Linked DNA regions of Daphnia pulex. The protein of the gene in region 2 purifies or fractionates together with the protein of the main gene of each other region. This does not show direct contact. Links are inferred from orthologs where the notes say so. Each region holds a gene or a part of one and is shown on either strand. Other genes may lie near its edges.

Region 1 (10,236 bases), on a different chromosome or scaffold from region 2:
AATTGGATCTGGATCGTCTGATCAAGAATTTTCAGAGGAAGAGATATTTTTAGAAAGTAACTCTGAGCAGGATTCTGAAGAAGAAGAAGAAGTTTTATCCGATTCTGGTTTTCATTCAGCTGAAGCTAAACTTGAACCGCTCATTGAAATCCCGTCAGAAGCTGTATCTCTTTTGCCGATTTTTAAACTCTTGACTGATTGGTTACAAGCCAATGTTCAGGTTGTTCAAGTATCAAATCAATCCATTCGAAAAATGTGGGCAACACTAGCTACCATCCTCAACGTGTTTAAACGCTGTCAGAAAGAAGATGTTGATCAGTACCAAAAAGTTCCTTTAGAAGAAGATTGGAAGCTGTATGGACTGGATTCTATGAGCTTATTCCATGCTCAAATCGATTTTGAGTCTGTTCCTGCACCATCCAACATTTCAATTTTAAATTCTATTCGGATCGAAAGAATTCTCCAATTTGGCAATTGGTTGGCAAGTCAAGGCAACGAAAAAAGTTTCCGACTGGAAAACGGAATTTACATGTGTCCATCCGAAGCAACTAAAGATGAATCCCAGGAACTGGGAATGAAAGCAGATCTCATGATGAGAAACATGGCACACTTGTGGTTGAAGTCAGAAGTACAAGAGCTTGAACGGAGACTCTCACCTCAATTCAAAAGAAAAAAAAAGACAAACTTCGATCTTTCCACTTTATCTTATGTCTATTTGGTACCGGACGTCTCTGCTCTTTCAGATTTTACTCACCTCATAAAACAAGTGATCAAAAGCCAAAAGCTGATTGTAGTAGTACCTGATATTGTCATCTCGGAAATTGATCAACTCAAAGTATTTTCATTTACTTGATTGTTGATCTTACAGCATTTAATGATTTTTTTTTCTCTTGTTATACAGAGGGAAAGCTCTTCTGTTCGGGAATGCATTCGGTGGCTAGAAACCTGCTTTCGTACCGGCAATCGCTTTATTAGAGCACAGCGTCAAAACGAACACCAAGTCATCCCATTATTGACTTATCCGAAACGAAAAGATAAAGCCAACTGGTGAGCACACGAGCCATCTTTCTTAACTCCTAAGTGCTATTGATAATGATTAACCTTCTGGTTTTCTTTAAGGACATTGTTCCAAATACTGGAATGCTGCTGTTACCTGGATACAAACCAGAGAAACGTTTATAAAACTAGCCAGAATTCGCCCATTGTACTGTTTTTGTCCGGCAACACGGCTGAAGACACGGATCAACAAACCAGAGGGATTTGTAATTCGATTGGTAAGCACACATTTCAAAAATTATGTTAACCGAAAATTAAACATCTTTATTTTAGGTGTTGAATTTAAAACTGCAAATTCGTTGATGAAGAAAAGTAAGACGAAAAAACGCTGATACCGTCATGTATAACATTGAATTACGTATTACGTAGCCATATGTGTTTTGATTATTTGCTTGTATTGTAAGAAAAACATTTTGTTTCTCACTCTCCTCGAGTTTTAACCATGGACAATACTGAAACATCAAGAAGTAAACCGTAACTAAAATAATGAAGAAACCGTGGGGAAGTAACTTATGTTAAAACAAACACAAACAGCGCTGCCTTTCAAGTGAAGTAATTAAGAAGTTTGAGTTTCAGCGTCACGGATTTTGACTTTTCGAATAACGGTACGACAACGACAATGATGAGTGCATCTACCGTTAAATTTCTTGCGAACTGAAGTTTTCCAAGAAGCAACGCTTTGTTTTCTTTTTCGAGTAGTAAACTTTGGATTAGCTTGGTTATTACTATTTTCATTGGCGTTTGTAGTTCCGTCCTGGGGATGAATGAGGGAATGAACAGGATAGGTTGTGACCATTTTGCTAGATGATTGGACTAGACTAATAGCTTCTTCTTTGCAATATTCGTGTTGCTCTGATACAATTCCCTCTGTGATCACAACAGCGTGTTCTTGCTTAGGGGGCGACACGTATTTTGAGAAGTCCATTGACGACCCATTTGGAAATGATGTGCCAGGAATAGAAGTATTCAAGTTAGAAGTCTCTTTCATAGGAACAACTGTGTTATTTACAATAACTTTCATTTTCTGAAGGGGAACGGATGAGGATGACGCAAATTGCACGCGCCGTTGTTGAGCAGGAGTGACGACTAACGGCGGAAACATCGACCAGTTTACTTGAGCAGAATTATTATGATTATCAACGTTCGATCCAATGGGAGTTGTTTGAGAAGGTATTGTCGTTTTTGTGTCGTTAATCGATGTGGAGCACGGCAAATACTGAAGGGGAGAATCTTTCATTCCAGGGATGCGTTGATCTTTTGTTGAAAATCCGACGAGGTTCTCCTGGTGTGTTGCTGTAGTAGTAGAGCCCAAAGTTGGTGTTGGGTAGTGAAAATGTTGGTTTACATAATAAGGTCTGGGAGTTGAACAACCGGCAATGGAGGTGACAAGGGTATCTTTATTGCGTGGTGCATACACGCTAGAATCGTCATACTGCTCTCTGGCTGGAGTCGAGACATTAGCTTGATTCTCTTCAGAAAAGTTCTTTACTCTATGCTCAGCTGTACTACTTTCTTGGTCAGAAGTATAGAAATGAACTTGTTTTCGTTGAGCAGGAGTGACGTCTACTGGAACAAACATTGAGCGATTTTTTGTTGAAGGAGCTTCTCGATTATCTGTTTGAGTTCGATTCTTAAAAATTGAGTTTTCTTGTATTATGACTGGTTCGTCGGTAAGGGGTGTCAAGTACGGTAAATTGTGAAGGTTGGAATTATCCCAATTTTGTTGACAAAAACGTCGATCTTTGCTTGAATGTCTTACAGTGTTCTCGCGATGTATGACGGGAGTTAGAAAACTCAAATTTGGTGTTGAAGAGTAAGGATTTGGGTTGAGATAAGGTGGAGAAGGACATTCAACATTTGAGTTGCTGAGAAATGAACTACATCCTGACGGTGAACTTTCTTGTAGTAAAAGAACCTCACCAGGGTTTGAATCCTCATAAAGTTCATTAACCTTGTGACTTAATGGAACTTTTGTTTGTTCCTCTTCAGATGTGCTTGTTATGTGATGCTCAGCTGTACTTTCCTGGTCTAATGAAACAGGACTATATTTTGTACTTATTGATATGTCATCATTGCCAGATCCTTCAGTATCTATATAGAGTAACACAATTATTTGAAATTTTTTAATCGAGTAATGTATTGATGTAGACCTGATGAAGATCCACAAGGAATGTTGTGAAATGGAGTTCCAATCCCAAAATGACGTATTGAGATATCATCATTTGAAACTGCCTCTACCTGCAAAATACATATTTAATAAATACTCCCATCTTTAGTGTCATTAAATTGGCTGTTACTTTAGGAGGAATCATTGTAAACTTCTGTCCATTGATTGGGGAAATCTGACCGGTTTGTTCAAGATCGTCATGCTTCACGAGGTCAACGAGAATTATGCGACTCTGTTGTTGAAAGGCAGTTTTACGAATCTCAGTATTTAGCCGGAAACGGTGTTTGGATCCACCACTCCAGTTCATTTCTTTTTACTTCAATGTGACAATTAGAAAGCGAATACACAATTATTCATGTAATTTTCAATGGCTTTTGGCTTTCAAAAGCGTCCTTCATGACCAAGAATTTTCATGGAAATTCGGTCTGTTTTGGCGCCGCAGCCGGCGCTATTGAAGAGACATCTGTTAAGAGAGGCGTAACCTCCTTAGTAACCAGAGTACCAGACAGACTTTTTCCGTAAATTTTGTTTTTGGTGACATTTAAGGGGAATGGTGGGCCAGAGAGTAAACATACTAAAAAAAACAGACACATGAATTATATATAAGTTTATAATAAGGAAAAAAATTGGGGTGTATACGATTACGAATTCTGTGGGCCTGTGGCGTGCCTGTGGCATGAGAATGATGAGATAGCTTCCATTTTATGTCGAATAGAAAATGGCAACCTTGTGTAGTTGTGTTGGATTCATTTTTTCGTCGTAAAAAATAAACCAAAATCCGTCTGCACTCACACAACAAGAGAAACAATTTGAATTCGTGTCGTAATAATATGAATATATTGTCACTTCCAGTCGGGTGAATGTGTAGCTCATCAAGAGTTCGTTTTGTTTTGTGGTTTTTCAGATTTATCTAAATTTTTGGATAAGAAATCTGATAAATCGTTGAATAGATGACCATGTCGGGGGAGCTCTCGGTTTTCCAGCGTGCTCCATCACGTTCACCTTCTCCCGATGAACAGGGCCAAGATGAAGAAGATGAAGATTGGGCGATTGGATTAGCATTTTCTTCAGAAAGGCACACAGATAAAATTGAAGGATTAGAGGATTGTGCTCAAAACTGGAGATTAAAGGATCGGGTAACCCATGCATTTATTAAGTTACCTTTCCCGTCCAAAATCAAAATTTAAATAGCATTTTGTAATTTTTTCTCCACACAATTGTGCATGTACGGCTTAATAAAATAGGATTTCTTTTATTTTTTTTAAATTCAAGATGAAAACAGTAAGTGTGGCATTGATATTATGCCTTAATGTTGGAGTAGATCCTCCAGATGTAGTTAAAACTCAGCCCTGTGCAAGGCTAGAATGCTGGATAGGTATGTGATTTGTAAAGGGTTGTGTGTGTAGTGTTGTTGCTTTTTTAATGCAATTTTCCTCAATGTGTAGATCCTTTGTCTATGAGTCCACAAAAAGCATTAGAAGCAATTGGCATCAACCTTCAGAAGCAATATGAGAGGTGGCAGCCCCGTGCTCGCTACAAGCAAACTCTAGATCCTACCGCTGATGAGGTACAACCGAAAAATTCTTGTTTGTTTAGAAAAGAATAATTGTGATTAATGTTGTAATTCATAAATGTCAGATTAAAAAAGTAACATCTACTCTCCGAAGAAATGCTAAAGACGAAAGAGTGCTGTTTCACTACAATGGGCATGGCGTTCCGAAACCAACTGCCAATGGAGAGATTTGGGTCTTCAATCGCAGTTATACGCAATATATACCGCTCTCGATTTACGACCTACAAACTTGGATGTGGTCTCCGTCAATTTACGTATTTGACTGTTCAAACGCTGGCATGATTGTGGACGCGTTTCAACAGTTCGCGGATCAGCATCAGAGGGAGTACGAACAACTGATGGCTCAATCAAGAAACACATTGCCTTCTCAGATGACACCACCTCCGAATTTCAAACAGTGCATTCAGTTGGCTGCATGCGCAACTAATCAGATTCTTCCTATGAATTCCGAACTGCCAGCTGATATATTTACTGCATGTCTCACAACTCCTATTAAGGTAACTAGAATATGTTTTAAGATAAATTGGAAATTTAATGTACTATTCCATTTTTTCCCCTATATCAAAAGATTGCACTTCGATGGTTTGTTTTACAAAATACTTCCCGTTTGGTGCCCCGAATGACACTTGAATCAGTCGACAAAATCCCCGGGCAGCTTAACGATCGCAGAACTATGCTGGGTGAATTAAATTGGATTTTTACCGCTATAACTGATACGATTGCTTGGAATTCACTTCCACGGGACGTGTTCCAGCGCCTTTTCAGACAAGATCTTCTTGTGGCTAGTCTTTTCCGGAATTTCCTTTTAGCAGAAAGGATACTTAAGTCGTATGACTGCACGCCAGTCTCTTGGCCAAAGTTGCCTCCTACGTCTCAGGTTATTAGGATTTAAAGTTACCTTTTCACATTATTTAAATGTCTTATAATTTCGGCATTCTTTGATTTTAGCACCCAATGTGGTCTGCTTGGGATTTAGCTCTTGACATTTGCCTCTCACAGCTACCAGGCATTTTAGAAGGCAAGGAAACCTTCCAGAATTCCCCTTTTTTTGAGGAACAGTTGACGGCTTTCCAAGTTTGGCTTTCGCATGGGTCACAAAAGAGATCTCCTCCAGAACAACTACCTATTGTTCTGCAAGTTCTTTTAAGTCAAGTTCATCGTTTAAGAGCACTTGAACTCTTGGGGCGATTTTTAGATTTAGGCCCTTGGGCTGTCAATTTGGCGCTGTCGGTCGGCATTTTTCCATATGTTTTAAAGGTTTGCTTTTCTATTTTAATATGTTCTACTCGATAACTGAAATCTTCGTTTTAGTTACTTCAAAGTTCTGCGCGGGAACTGCGCCCATTACTTCTATTTATCTGGACGAAAATTCTTGCTGTTGATGTTACCTGTCAAGCGGATTTAGTCCGTGATGGAGGACACAAATATTTCCTCTCTGTTCTTCAAGATAATTCCGTGCCGGATGATCAGCGCACGCTGGCCGCCTTTGTGATTTCTAGAGTGGTCTGGAATCATCCTATCGGGCAGGATGCTGTTTCTCAAGTAGCTTTTATCTCGAATGCCCTGGAAATGGTCTATGAAAAGGATAAATTACTTAGACAATGGATCGTCATTGGAATTGGCTTAGCTTGGCACAATGCTATAGCTGCTCGTTGGTCGGCAATTCGAGACTCCGCTCATGAGAAACTATTTCCGTTGTTGCGAGATTCTGTTCCTGAGGTATTTACAACATTGTTGATTATATGACATTAAATCTGTCGAATTTCAGTCTTATTTGTTTATGTATGTTAAGGTTCGAGCGGCCACTGCTTATGCCCTAGGAACGTTTATCCATAGTGGAGGAAAGACGGAACGAAATGAACTTGCCAACAAAATTGATCACGCAGTGGCCTTACAACTGGTGAATGTTGTGAACTCGGAAGCTAGTCCTTTGGTTCGCAAAGAGGTATAGTAGCTTCTTTTCGCTTTGGGAATTGAATATTCGTTAAATTTAATTTTCTTTCTAAAGATCGTTGGCGCTCTCCAGTGGATTGTTTTGATATTCGAGTCCACGTTCATTCAAATGGCTGTTCAACAGATAGAAGAGGAAAAGAATAAAGACTCGAACAGTCTCTCTCCAAACGTGGAAGTAACGTTAACTTCTTCTGGTAGTCTACAGAGGCCCACGCGTCGTTCGCGGGCCTCCACATCCAATGCGATGAACCTAGGCACAAGTCCGGAACTATCAGATAGTGGTTTCACCCATTCCACAAACTCCGGGCATCCAGATCATATTAGACGAGCGGTTTCTATTTCCTCTCTCAGTAGCCTTAGTAAGATTTTAATAGTAAGCCAAAAATTGATTAAAATAAAATATTTCTAAATTTTATTTTTGCAGCGAGTTCCACTTTGCCTAGTCTTGCTTTTAACACTATTTACGTCAAACTTTGGCACGGACTTTCAAGCATGGAAAAAGATCCTTACCTGGAAGTCTCTACGATGGCAAAGAAATTAACGGATTATGTGCGGAATAAGGTATTTCCTTTTTAAAAATTACGCAGTTGGTCAGCCACTTAAACATAACATGCATATTTCAGGCTAAAGAAGTGATAGCTTCACGGGAATCAGACGTTAGTCGTCAATATACGTATTCCAATTCGAGTAACGATTCTATGGATAAATCCCTCTACATGTAATGCTGTATACTATTACAATACCTCGTACAAATAACGAATATATTTGAGACTTGTTTCAGTGGGGACTCTCCTCCACGGGCCCTTGTCCAACGCACTACTCCCTCATTCAACAGAATCAGGAAACGAAGCATACCATCTACAGTAATAACATTTTGAACTGGCTTCCTCAACCGAATGTTTCTTACTACTACTCAATTATTATTTATTCGTTGCTAGATTGTGGAAGAAGGTGAAAGTTCCAAAGAGTTGAAGGATCCTTTAGTAGTAACCGGATTTGTCGAATGGTGCGCTCGTCATTTTGCTGAACCAGCTGCGTCTAATGAAGATTTTCAAATCAATATGAAACCCAATCACGAAAAAGAATTAACTATTGAATTCGAAGTACAACCTCAACATGGATTCTATGATTTTTTAGAATTATTATTGATATATTTTTTTGTTCTCAACTAGATATGCGGGAGAACACGTGAACGAGACACTGAAATGTACTACACGCGCGAATGGCGATATACAAGAAATGCTTCCGTTCGCCATGAAGCTAAAGAAGAATGTCAAAGGTGAACTCAATTTCAGGGTTTTTACCTGGTTTTTTAATTTAAAATTCTATGTTTATTTATTTAGACCAAATAAAGCAAAAATGAAAGAGGTTTTCTGCAATCGGAATCCACTGGTACCTTCAGTTATCCGCTTTCATCCCTACGATCCTTGGCTTGCTGTAGCAGATAAAGAAGGATGCACGTAAGAAACAATTCTTTTATGGTGATAAAAGTTTTTCTGTGCTCGACGAAAATTGTTCTATAATGCAGAGTATGGGACTGGGAAAGAAGCGTCCGTCTTGTCCATTTTAACAATCAACAACAACCCAGGGCTGCTCGAATTACATCAATGGATTTTGTGAACGGACATGATGATGCGTTACTTCTTATTGGTGCAGATGATGGGTCGTGCAGAATCTGGCGGGATTTTATTCGAACAGGATCTCGATCAGCAAATGCTGTTGTCGAAGATCACACTGGAGTTTCTCTTGTTTCAGCATGGAACTGTATAGCTGAAATGGCACCATCGACTCGATGTTCCGGTCTGGTTTTGGATTGGAATCAGGATTCTTTACAATTGCTAGCAACAGGCGATGTTCGCTTGATCCGCATTTGGGACGTAGAGCGTGAATTGAAAGTCAGCGACTTTCCTACTGGTTCAGAAAATTGTGTGACCTCCGTTCATCATAACCCGCGAGGTTTTGACCAAGTTTAAGAAATTTATATAATCGTTTGCGCAAATTAAATTGATAATTTTGTCTTCAGATCGATCGCTCTTTGTAGCGTCATGTGGAGACGGATCAGTCCGCCTTTTTGATCAGCGATGCAGCGCTGCAAAATCTAGAGTTATGACTTGGAGGGAGCATGCTGCTTGGGTCATAGATTGCGAATGGATTTCGGTTGAAGGAGGTGCCAACTTAGTGAGTGGCAGGTAACAATCATCTCATCGTATTAATCGTTACATTGTATGAAATTACGTTTGATAACTAATAGTTGTTTTTTTTTCTCAAGTCTGGCGGGTGACATCAAGTTCATGGATCCTAGAAATCCCAACTCGGTTCTCACCGTAGCCACAGCGCCTAATTCGCAAGGAATGACTGCCATGGCAGTCCATCCCAAGGCTAACTTATTTGCTTGGTAAAACAGCTTTTGTGTGGAAAAATGCTTATTTTCACTAACATGCATCGTTTTCATTATTAGTGGAATTGTCGGGCAGTACATTACCGTACACGACCAAGAAGGAGAAGTGCGTTCTACTATCGCGTATCACGACGGCGGTGGTCTTTTGGGCTCCAAAATTGCAGCTGTCTCCTGTTTAACCTTTCATCCACATCGGGTGTGCCTCGCTGCTGGAGGCATGGACTCGATGATTTCTGTTTTTTCTTCAGATAAGTCAAAGAAGTAGAATGGTTTGCTTTTGTTGACTCACCGTCAAGATTCGTCGTTTTCTTTTTTTCTGTTGGAGATTTTTCAATTCGAGCCGCGAGACCTCGCATATGTTAAATACCCAGTTACAAACAATCACTATTGTGAGCGAAAGATTCAAAATGAAGCATCCTCTATATTAATTCATGCACCGAATTAAATTAATTGTGTATCTTAAATGTATTTTTTTTTGTGTGTGAAGCTTCCTGCTGACTTCTTATCAGTTTATTCATTGGGTATGATTTTCATGTTATTATATCGAGCTATGCTCACGTTACACAAGATAAGTTTACATGCCCATGCTGTTTGGGTCGACGTTCTCAATCCATGTGAGTATTGGGTAATACAAAGTAATTGAATACCAAAAACTTTGTCGATGAATTTCCGTCGTCAGAATGTTTAGACGACATTGTTCGACTTAAGTAAAAAAGAAAATGTGATGCTTCGGCTTTGATCTTTCTACCCGTTTATCAGTTGTTGCGATAAGGTTATCGGAACGGAGCTTTTCCGTTGTACTGATCAGCTGGTGGCCAGATCAATCGTTTATGTGTTTGAACGCAGTGAAAACCAACGTCGCATTAGCCTTTGTTAACCTCGTATTGAAAACGGGATTAAGTTGTCAAACTCACCATGAGGATTCCCAGGTTTACTGAGAGCTGGTGTGGCTGTTCTCTTCAAACGGGGACTAAAATTATCAGCATCTTTTCTGTGGTACGTTTGGTACACCTTGTTACATGTAAAACTCTTTTGATGCTTATGATTATGTACATATTATCCTTAGGTAGTAAAGCTTCTTTTAGTGAT
Region 2 (9,510 bases):
TATGGTATCCAAACACTTGATCAGTTGACAACTTAATTGTTGCATCATAAATGCTAAATGTTTTCCTCTAATAAAAACTAGTCGTCAAGCCGGTCATCGCTTTGGTGAGAACGTGGAGAGAGTGGTGCCGTCTCTAATTCAGTTCATTAACGTAGATGATGATGAACTCCGAGAGTTCTGTCTTCAGGCTTTTGAGGCACTCGTTCACAAATGCTCCAAAGAGATGACACCTCACATTGGTACTCTCACTGGTATCTGCCTGGAACTATTAGCCTATGATCCAAACTACAATTACGAAGTACGAAACATCAGCTAACATTTATTTGAATTATCAAACTTACAGAGTGATGATTTTTGTTGTAGGAAGAAAACGGCGAAGATGACGAAGGAGATATGGAAACTGAAGAAGAAGATGAAGAAAATGAGGAAGAGTATTCGGATGATGACGACATGTCCTGGAAAGTGAGTAAACGATTTCATCATCGGAAAAAAAAGGAAAACATTTATTTTATTTCTTCCCCTCAGGTACGACGATGTGCTGCAAAATGCTTAGAGGCGATTATCAGCACCCGCCCAGATTTGCTAATAGATTTTTACCGTACCATTTCTCCTGTGTTGATCGGTAGATTTAAAGGTTCGTAAAATTCAGTTGTTCTGATCAAAATTGGAACAATTAATCAAAACATTTCTGGCATTTTCAGAGCGCGAAGAAAACGTAAAAGCTGATATCTTCCATGCATTCATTGCTCTTTTGAAACAGACCAAGCCATCTGGATCTGTTCGCGACGATGGTACTGGCTTCGGCGCTAATCAAGAGATTTACAGCGTGTTGATGCAACAAGTCCCTCTCATTATTAAAGCCACCAGTAAACAAATGAAGGTAACGAAAGGTTCCCTTTAGTTCTTGGAATGGTAAATACTTACACTTTTAATACAGGACAAAAGCCTAAAAACTCGACAAGGTGTGCTTGCCCTTTTGACCGAGCTAGTCTTGGTTATTCCCGGGTGTTTGAGCCCTCATTTCAGTCAGTTGGTCCCAGGAATCCTCTTCTGTCTCAAGTATTTTTTTTTCCCGCTGGCATCGTCGTAACACACCGACCAACTAACTCTTTGATATATTACAGTGAAAGGAATGCGAGCTCTCCGATGAAAATAGATACTTTGCAATTTGTACACACGGTACTAATTCACCATCCGCCCGAAGTGGCTCACGAGCATATTGCAGCATTGTTGCCTTCTTTGTTGAGTGCTGTATCCGATCCGTTTTACAAGATCACATCCGAAGCTCTTTTGGTTCTCCAGCAGTTGGTAAATGTTTTTGACTGAAATATTTATTTGGAATTCACTTTAAATGCTTCTATTTTTATAAAGGTGCGAGTGATGCGTCCATTGGATTCAGCCACCACATTTGACTTTACACCATACACAGTCTCCATTTATGATAGCGTACTAGTCCGGCTAAAAGCTGCTGATTTGGACCAGGAAGTCAAAGAGCGCGCCATTTCATGCATGGGTTTCATAGTTTCTCATCTGGGAGATCACCTTGCTGGTAAGAAATTAAAAATGATAAATTCTGCATACTTTTGAATTCACAACTTCTTTGCTCAGATCAACTAATGGTATGCCTCCCCATCTTTTTGGATCGTCTTCGAAACGAGATTACCCGGTTAACGACAGTCAAAGCTTTAACAAAAATTGCTTCGTCTCCGTTACACATCAATATAAGCCCATTGTTGCCCGAAGCACTTCCAATTCTTGCGGGATTTTTGCGTAAGAACCAGCGGGCACTTAAACTAACTACCCTTGCTTTGCTCGATCGTATCGTCAACAACTACAGGTAATAACTTACTTAAAAGTTTTATGTTTTTCCTCTTGGTTCCCTTTAAGACTTCTCTTTCTTTGTTTTTTTTTTAGCGCTGCGCTAACACCGGAACTACTGCATGCGGTTTTAACCGAAATACCGCCTCTGCTGTCGGAATCTGATTTGCACATCGCGCAGCTAACCCTTCATTTGCTCACTTCTGTTGCGCGGAATCAGCGTTCGGCGTTTCAAACCGGTGGAGTTAATGGAGGCATTTTGTCCGAAGTCTTCAATCTCTTGCGCTCACCTTTGCTTCAAGGTGTGGCTCTGGGATCCCTTCTCGATTTCCTACAGGCTTTGGTCGAGTTTAATGCTCCGGGTTAGTGATTTTTTTTCTCTTAATTTCAACTGTATTACTTAGAAGACAACTTATTAACAATATTAACTGTTCACTTTTACTTTCCATTCAGGATCTGGTCTTGGCTACCGCGATTTGTTGATGTGTCTGATGAATTTGGCGTCAAAACCTGGTCTCCACAAGACTGCCCATCATTCTGTCGCCCAGGCTGTTGCTTCACTGGTTGTGACGCAACCTGTTTCTGAAGCTTTTACTTTGGTACAGAATTTTCTTCAGGAAGCTCAGAGACCTCATTCTGATTGGCAACACATCTTTGCCCTGCTCTGCATGGGAGAAATTGGCAAAAGAATGGATCTTCACCAAGTCCCAGGGTTGGGACAAGCAATCATCGATTCCTTCGGCCCACCAAATGAAGAAGTATTTCTAATCTTTTCTAACGTCAACATCAATCTATATCCGTTTTCTTTAGGTAAAATCTGCAGCTTCGCACGCCCTCGGTTCAGTAGCAGTGGGAAATCTTCCAGCTTTCTTGCCCTTCATTCTTACTCAGATTGAAACTCAATCACGGCGTCAGTATTTGTTGCTCCACTCGTTAAAGGAAGTGATTACTTCGCTGTCACTTGGAACCGAGGCCATTGCACAACTGCGCCCTTTCGTACCCCAAATTTGGGATCTTCTCTTCCGTCACTGCGAGTGTAACGAAGAAGGAACACGCAATGTTGTGGCGGAGTGTTTGGGAAAGCTTACTCTCACAGACCCAGAGGGATTGCTTCCACGACTTCGAGCAGCTCTGAACAGCCCTAGTGCGTTGATGAGAACCACGATCGTCACAGCAGCCAAATTCACAATTTCTGATCAAGTCCAGTCCATTGATCCTCTGCTGAAGCAATGTATGGGCGATTTCCTTCAAACCTTACAGGTAATGATCAATTTCATTGGGGTTGATTAGAACGGATCAGTATTTAATTGATTCTGTAATAGGATGATGACTTGAATGTGCGACGAGTGGCATTAATTGCCTTTAATTCGGCAGCACACAACAAGCCTTCCTTGGTCCGAGACTTACTCGATTCCGTTTTGCCTCAGCTCTATAACGAAACCAAAGTCAGAGTAAGTATTCTAGTGATGGAATCAATTTCTTAAAACTAAAATATGCTAAATAAAAAAAAATTATAACTAATTATAATTTTTAGAAAGAGTTGGTCCGCGAAGTGGAAATGGGTCCCTTTAAGCACACCGTTGACGATGGTCTTGACCTTCGTAAAGCCGCTTTCGAATGCATGTATACCCTTCTGGATTCATGTCTTGATCGATTGGATGTTTTCGAATTTTTGAATCACGTTGAACTGGGATTGAAAGGTTGGTGTTTTGTTTCTTGGAACAAAAACGATGTTACTTACAGCTCACGTTCATTTACAACTTCTTACAGATCACAACGACATCAAAATGCTGACTTATTTAATGGTTGCCCGTCTGGCCACGTTGTGTCCTACTGCCGTTCTTCAACGCCTCGATCGATTAGTCGAACCCCTACGAACTACTTGCACGGCTAGAGTTAAGGCGAATGCAGTCAAACAAGAATATGAAATGCAAAATGAACTTAAGGTGATTGATTTATTACTTTATAGAACCGAATCAAATGAATTGGTAATCAAACGAAATATTTAAAATAGCGATCTGCCATGCGAGCCGTGACTGCATTGCTGATCATTCCTGATTCGGACAAAAATCCACAACTTAACGAGTTCGTTCTGCATATTCGTTCATCACCCGATCTTCAGGTAACTAAATAACAACTGCCAAAAACCAGCACGTACTATTCGCCTAAACTTAAAATTTTTACACTTACCATTTTCAGACTCTTTTCGACTCGATCCAGAAAGATGGCTCCGGACATCATGGAAATGCTGCAGGTGGATCCAGTGATTCGAACATGGATTTAAGTTAAAGTGGTGTATAATTATGTATCTATTATCGAAAAAATCGGATCGGGGAATTGTCACGAATGAAACATTGTTTCGTTCTTTTCTTTGAAATGTCTATGGTGGATGAAAGGGAAGTAGGGGTACATGTATTAACCATTCTTCTTGAACGGATGCGTTGAACATTGTTTAAGTTCAGTTCCACTACGATGCACTTTTCAGCACGGTGTGTATCTTTTTCTGAGAAAAAAAGATCTGTTGCGTTATTTCATCTTTTCCCCCATGTCATTTTAGATATTCAAAATCGAGAAATACAACTTTCCTGCAAAATGTTAATCGTATTTAATGTTCAAAACCTAAATTTGGTGAACATCGTTTATACAAGATAAGAACCACTTACATAGTACAAATGATAAATGTATTTCGCTCACCATGAAAGCTTTTCAACGTTGCTTCACAAATCCAAGAAACCGAGATAACGGTCGTTATGAAAAACTGCGTAATATTAGAAGGGAAAAAAATTGGCGCTGGTAGATTTTTCTACATTTCATACCCGTTCAGGACAGAACACAACTGCTCTTTTCGTTTCCATTACTGCTATCTGCTTTCTCCATTTCCGTTATCAGTCGGTTAAAAATTTCGCAGACAGACTAGAGATGAAAGGAAAAAAAAAAAAATTCTTAATAGAAAGTACAATTTCAAATCTCCAAATGAATATTAATCAGCATACCTCGTGTGACCTAGCAGAAACTTCATAAAATGAGGCTTTCCAAGTGTCGGCAAGCCTTTTGCCCTCTTCTGTGCTGACTACTCTTTCACGGTGAAGGTCTGTTTTATTACCAACAATAACAAGAGGTATTCTATAGTGATGAAAAGAAACTGGTTGTCAGACATAAAATTATTGAGTGATGAAATGCTACCTTAGAGAAACTTACGTGATTTTACCAGTCATATCCATAATCTTTTCTAGCAAAACTTGTAACAGCTCAAAGCTTTGAACTGAAGTAATGGAATATACAAGTACATAACCATGCATGTCCATTGAATGTTGAGCTGGGAAAATAGCATATTCATCTTGACCAGCAGTATCCACCAACTTTAGCTCAAAATCTTGCCCTCTTACTTTCCATGGTTTGGTGAAGGCTGGATTTCAGTCAAGACAAAACAAAAATTAAACAGTGTTCCTTTACAACACAAACAAGGAGCATACTGTTTTCAATTGTAGGGTCATAAGAATCAACAAATTGATTTTCAACAAATTGGATGGTCAGTGAAGATTTTCCTAGGTAAATGAAAATTATAAAAAATAATCTAACATGATCTTTCAACTGCAACAACTTACCAACTGAGCGGTAGCCCATAATTGCAATCTTCCTCTGTTTTCTTTGAGGTGGCATGTTGGACTAGTATTTCCCAAGTTATGCAAGTATGTATGGCGAGTGCTTCTTACGTCATGCACTACAAAATACAAACAACACTTATATTTCAAAGCATATACTTTCAATAAGGAATGGTGAAAGAAATCAATGGCCACCACTTGCAACAGCATTTAAAAAATATTTTCATAAGGTACTTCATTAAGTTCATTATAAATACCAAGTAAGTTTAATACCTTCTTGTTCTGTGCTGCTAAAACGTTTCCTTTTAGATTTTTCTTTTGCAATACAAGAAAAGATTTTTACGGATCAAAATAACGTGTTTTCTGTTTAGTTAGTTGGACAGCTTCTTTACTGATTACAGCGTTGCAACAAGTACTGTTGTGGAGATAACAAATATGCGTATAAAATTTAAATAAAATATAAATAAATTAGAGTTTAAATTATAAATTTATAATACGCATCTTAAATGAACTTTACACTCAAATCTAAATAATATTACATGTAAAAAATACCAAACAGAGACTCCGTCTATAGCGACTGTCCCAAACAAGTTTTTTACTATGCTCTGCAAACTGTTTTGTTTTTCTGAACTTACAGATCGAGCGCTAGATGGCGAGCAAACTTCTGCACGTGAATCAGCACACACTGAAACAGTTTGCCGAAGGTTTGCACGTGATCAGCACACGCCGAATCGTGGCAAGTCGAAAATGGTAATTTCAATGCCAGATATTACCAAAGCCGAAACTGTAAATGGAAAAACTTACCATGAGAATTTCGTCAAACTAATTCGATTTCGTTAATCCTTCTTATTGCACAACTGAATGAGCCCTAGACATTATGAACTTTCATGTCCTTCGGGGAAGACCAATTGGTATCATGTGGTCACAGCATGGAGTATGCAGAGACATGATCACTTGGCTATGCCTACGTCAATTTCCAACAACCAGCTGATGCTAAGATAACAATAGTGAGTGAAGACTTATCGTTTATCCTTCTTATCGTACAACTGAATGAGCCCTTAGTCTACTGTATTGATTAAGTGAAAGTTGAGGAGTTGAAAAATTTTATTTGTTTAGTAGCAATGCAGTAGTACAATTTCTGTGTTTTATTTCAATTTGAAGTAAAATTATTCGTAATTGCGCCTACGGTGTTGTATGTCCAGTTTGCTTTCTCGCTGGCGACGTTGATGTTCTTCTCTTAGTTGTTCTCATCTATTATCTTCATCATTTTGACGCTCGAACTGACGACGCGGATCAATTTGTGGCTCCCGTTGTTGTTGAGAGTCCCGTTGTTGTTGAGAGTCCCGTTGTTGTTGCTCCCTTAGTTGTTGTTGCTCCCTTAGTTGTGGCTCCCGTAGAATGAGACGTGGTGGTTGTAGGACAAATCGTGTTTGTTGTGGTTGTTGTTGTAGGGAGTATAGATTTTGTTGAGGAATGTTATGGGGCGGTTGAGGAGTGTGTTGAGGCAAATACTGAAAAAAGTTGAAAAGGTCGGCGAGTAATGGAGGGAGCACAAACATGAGCATATGGAGTACTGGCACTGTACACAGTACCGCAGTCAGTATTTTGGAGGGACCGGGCAGGAGCGGCCGGAAAAAGGATGACCAACAAGAAGAACAAAAAAGACGGGCAACGTCATCGCCACAGCAACGCAAAGTGGAGTTTAACGCCAAAAAATTCCGCATGTACACAAAAAAAAAAAATGAAAAATAGAAGAAAAATAGTCAGTTTTCAGCTGTTTACTTTTGCTTCTTCCTAGCTTGAGTAGGTCGTATGAGTCTCGATCCTGATTCTAAATTATTAAATATTATAATTTTCTTTTTCTTTTAAGAAAATGTATAGGAAATTTAGTTACCTTTAGTCATTCCGGAAACGTATCCCTCAACTGTTGCTTCTCTCGAAGTGGGGAATCCCACAAAGTCAGTTGGCACATAGGGTTTAGTTTTTTCCATGAACTCTTCACCGGTGACCAATGTGAAATTCGGCTCAACACCTTCACTGTTCAATACATGTACGCCAGTTGTATACGCTGTAACTGACGACGCGGATCAATTTGTGGCTCCCGTTGTTGTTGAGAGTCCCGTTGTTGTTGCTCGTGTTGTTGTTGTTGCTCCCTTAGTTGTGGCTCCCGTAGAATGAGACGTGGTGGTTGTAGGAAAAATCGTGTTTGTTGTGGTTGTTGTTGTAGGGAGTATAGATTTTGTTGAGGAATGTTATGGGGCGGTTGAGGAGTGTGTTGAGGCAAATACTGAACAAGTTGGTATGTCGGTATTGGAATGTTGGGCATGAATGGCATGAATATGGGAATGTTGATTATTGAAATTTGCTCGAGCATGAAACTGTTGAACAGGTGGGAATTGTTGAGTGGATGTTCCACGAGTTTGAAAATGTTGAGAATGTGTAGCATGAAAATGGACAGCTCGACGATAATTAGGCTCCTTAGGTAATGAATAGTATTGCCACATCAAAGTTGTTTTCCTGGGTCCCCATCCAAACCCTTCAATTGGTGGATACTATTGAAGGATGAAAACATAAGTTAAGAAAGTGAAATTGTTGTTAACAAGGTGAAAATATAATGTACCAGGTGGTGAGGGAAAGCCCACGAATATTGAACAACAGCGTTGTTAAAAAGATAATAAAATCCAGGACGATACAGGGGATCCAGAACTTTCAAACTGCGTTGAATCTCTCTGTGTGCATTGCATTGTTCTACAAAACTGAGGGGTTGTAACAGTAAGGCTTTGAAATGTTGAATCTTTCTTTGATGATAACTACTTCCATTCACAACTCCCGCTTTTGCAATATCTTGCATGGAAATCACCATTTTTGACTTAGCACGACTCGGCGTGTGCTGCTCACCTGATGCTGATCACAAACGTTTGGCAAACTGTTTCAGCGCGTGCTGACCTTGCCGCCTTCAAAGAGTTTGCAGCTTTTGATGAAGATTGGTTCCTCACCCGCATGGTATCTCTGGTCAGGCATATTTACATCAGGTCTCCCATTGGAGTCAAGAACGTTAAGAGAATCTATTGAGATTGAGCGCACCTGATGTTGTTGTTGAGGGCGATGGTTCCGGTTAAAAAGTTGCTGTTGTTGCTGAGAGCGTTGGCGTTGTCGCACCTGATGTTGTTGTTGAGGACGTTGGTTTTGGTTCATATGTTGCTGTTGTTGCTAAGAGCGTTGGCGTTGTCGCAGCTTTTGGCGTTCACGATTGCGTTTCCTTTTTTCTCTTGGGAGAGAGTGGTAGAGCAACATCAACTCCACTCTTCTTCCACCCCAGCCAGGACCAACAATCGGGGTTTGATGTAAAGGTTAGTAAGATGAAGTGAAGGCAAGATATGATGAATACATAACCAAAATATAAATACATACCGTATCAAAATACCATGTGTTGTGTACTACAGCATTATTAAACTGGTACTCAATGCCAGAGCGATATGTTGGTTCCAATTGGTTCAAACTTAAAAAAAAAACTGCTGAAATTTTATTTATTTTAAATACAAAGGATATTCTCTCATCTGTCATGGTGGATCCAGCAATTAATAAAACCCTTCTGTTACGAGTTTGATAGGCACACCCATGAGTAAGGTCGGTATAACGATGTTTAATTTTAAAATTTATTCAAGAAGAAAAATGCGATTTAACGAAAAAGTAATTGTTATTGTCCGAAAATGTTGGTTTGAATTTTTAACTGCATGCTACGACTTGTGTTTCCTTCTTTTTACCGTCTCCCCATGTGTCTCCGAAAATGTGGGTTTAAATCTTCAACTGCATGCTACGACTTGTGGATTTCCCTTCCTTTTCTGTTTTTTTAAAAATACGTCTTCGGATAGTGTTATGTAGTCTTTGCTGGACTTGTCTTTTTTTGAATTTTTTGTCGTTTGAAAAAAAGCTTAGCTAAAATCGTGCACGGCGACCAGCCGACTATCCCATTCGAGAACAAGCAATGGTGCTTCCTAATTAGGTAGGTAAGTGGAAAATTATAAAGGTAAGGTAAGTGATTAAGCTCGTGCTCATTGAAAAATACTATTAGAAAGTAAATGAAGTTGTG

The links.
Region 1: the proteins of GTP-binding protein Rheb-like (region 2) and regulatory-associated protein of mTOR-like purify together in Homo sapiens (affinity purification with western blotting, with the first as the bait; 3 studies listed by BioGRID). This does not show direct contact. The link is inferred for Daphnia pulex from reciprocal best matches to the Homo sapiens genes RHEB and RPTOR.

The regions. Positions count from the first base shown.
Region 1 is NC_060017.1:2,263,089-2,273,324, forward strand, and holds the start of regulatory-associated protein of mTOR-like, read left to right. Parts: upstream 1-3,934; 5' UTR 3,935-4,173; coding exon 4,174-4,359; intron 4,360-4,495; coding exon 4,496-4,598; intron 4,599-4,668; coding exon 4,669-4,790; intron 4,791-4,861; coding exon 4,862-5,293; intron 5,294-5,364; coding exon 5,365-5,673; intron 5,674-5,744; coding exon 5,745-6,053; intron 6,054-6,107; coding exon 6,108-6,515; intron 6,516-6,588; coding exon 6,589-6,741; intron 6,742-6,804; coding exon 6,805-7,108; intron 7,109-7,173; coding exon 7,174-7,310; intron 7,311-7,372; coding exon 7,373-7,467; intron 7,468-7,530; coding exon 7,531-7,612; intron 7,613-7,687; coding exon 7,688-7,852; intron 7,853-7,921; coding exon 7,922-8,028; intron 8,029-8,092; coding exon 8,093-8,209; intron 8,210-8,277; coding exon 8,278-8,705; intron 8,706-8,772; coding exon 8,773-8,938; intron 8,939-9,018; coding exon 9,019-9,144; intron 9,145-9,207; coding exon 9,208-9,412; 3' UTR 9,413-10,143; and 2 more. Other genes in the region: protein SMG5-like, read left to right, coding at 1-835, 902-1,047, 1,120-1,274, 1,330-1,388; uncharacterized protein PB18E9.04c-like, read right to left, coding at 1,613-3,147, 3,207-3,294, 3,354-3,530. UniProt on the Homo sapiens protein: Component of the mechanistic target of rapamycin complex 1 (mTORC1), an evolutionarily conserved central nutrient sensor that stimulates anabolic reactions and macromolecule biosynthesis to promote cellular biomass generation and growth.
Region 2 is NC_060021.1:5,203,936-5,213,445, reverse strand, and holds GTP-binding protein Rheb-like, read right to left. Parts: upstream 5,836-9,510; 5' UTR 5,694-5,835; exon of another isoform or gene 5,678-5,693; intron 5,618-5,677; 5' UTR 5,479-5,617; coding exon 5,424-5,478; intron 5,364-5,423; coding exon 5,292-5,363; intron 5,225-5,291; coding exon 5,017-5,224; intron 4,942-5,016; coding exon 4,812-4,941; intron 4,732-4,811; coding exon 4,639-4,731; 3' UTR 4,483-4,638; downstream 1-4,482. Other genes in the region: cullin-associated NEDD8-dissociated protein 1-like, read left to right, coding at 1-4, 82-298, 364-462, 526-634, 702-880, 938-1,059, 1,125-1,308, 1,372-1,549 and 9 more; transcription factor SPT20 homolog, read right to left, coding at 7,462-7,707, 7,787-7,972, 8,367-8,630. UniProt on the Homo sapiens protein: Small GTPase that acts as an allosteric activator of the canonical mTORC1 complex, an evolutionarily conserved central nutrient sensor that stimulates anabolic reactions and macromolecule biosynthesis to promote cellular biomass generation and growth.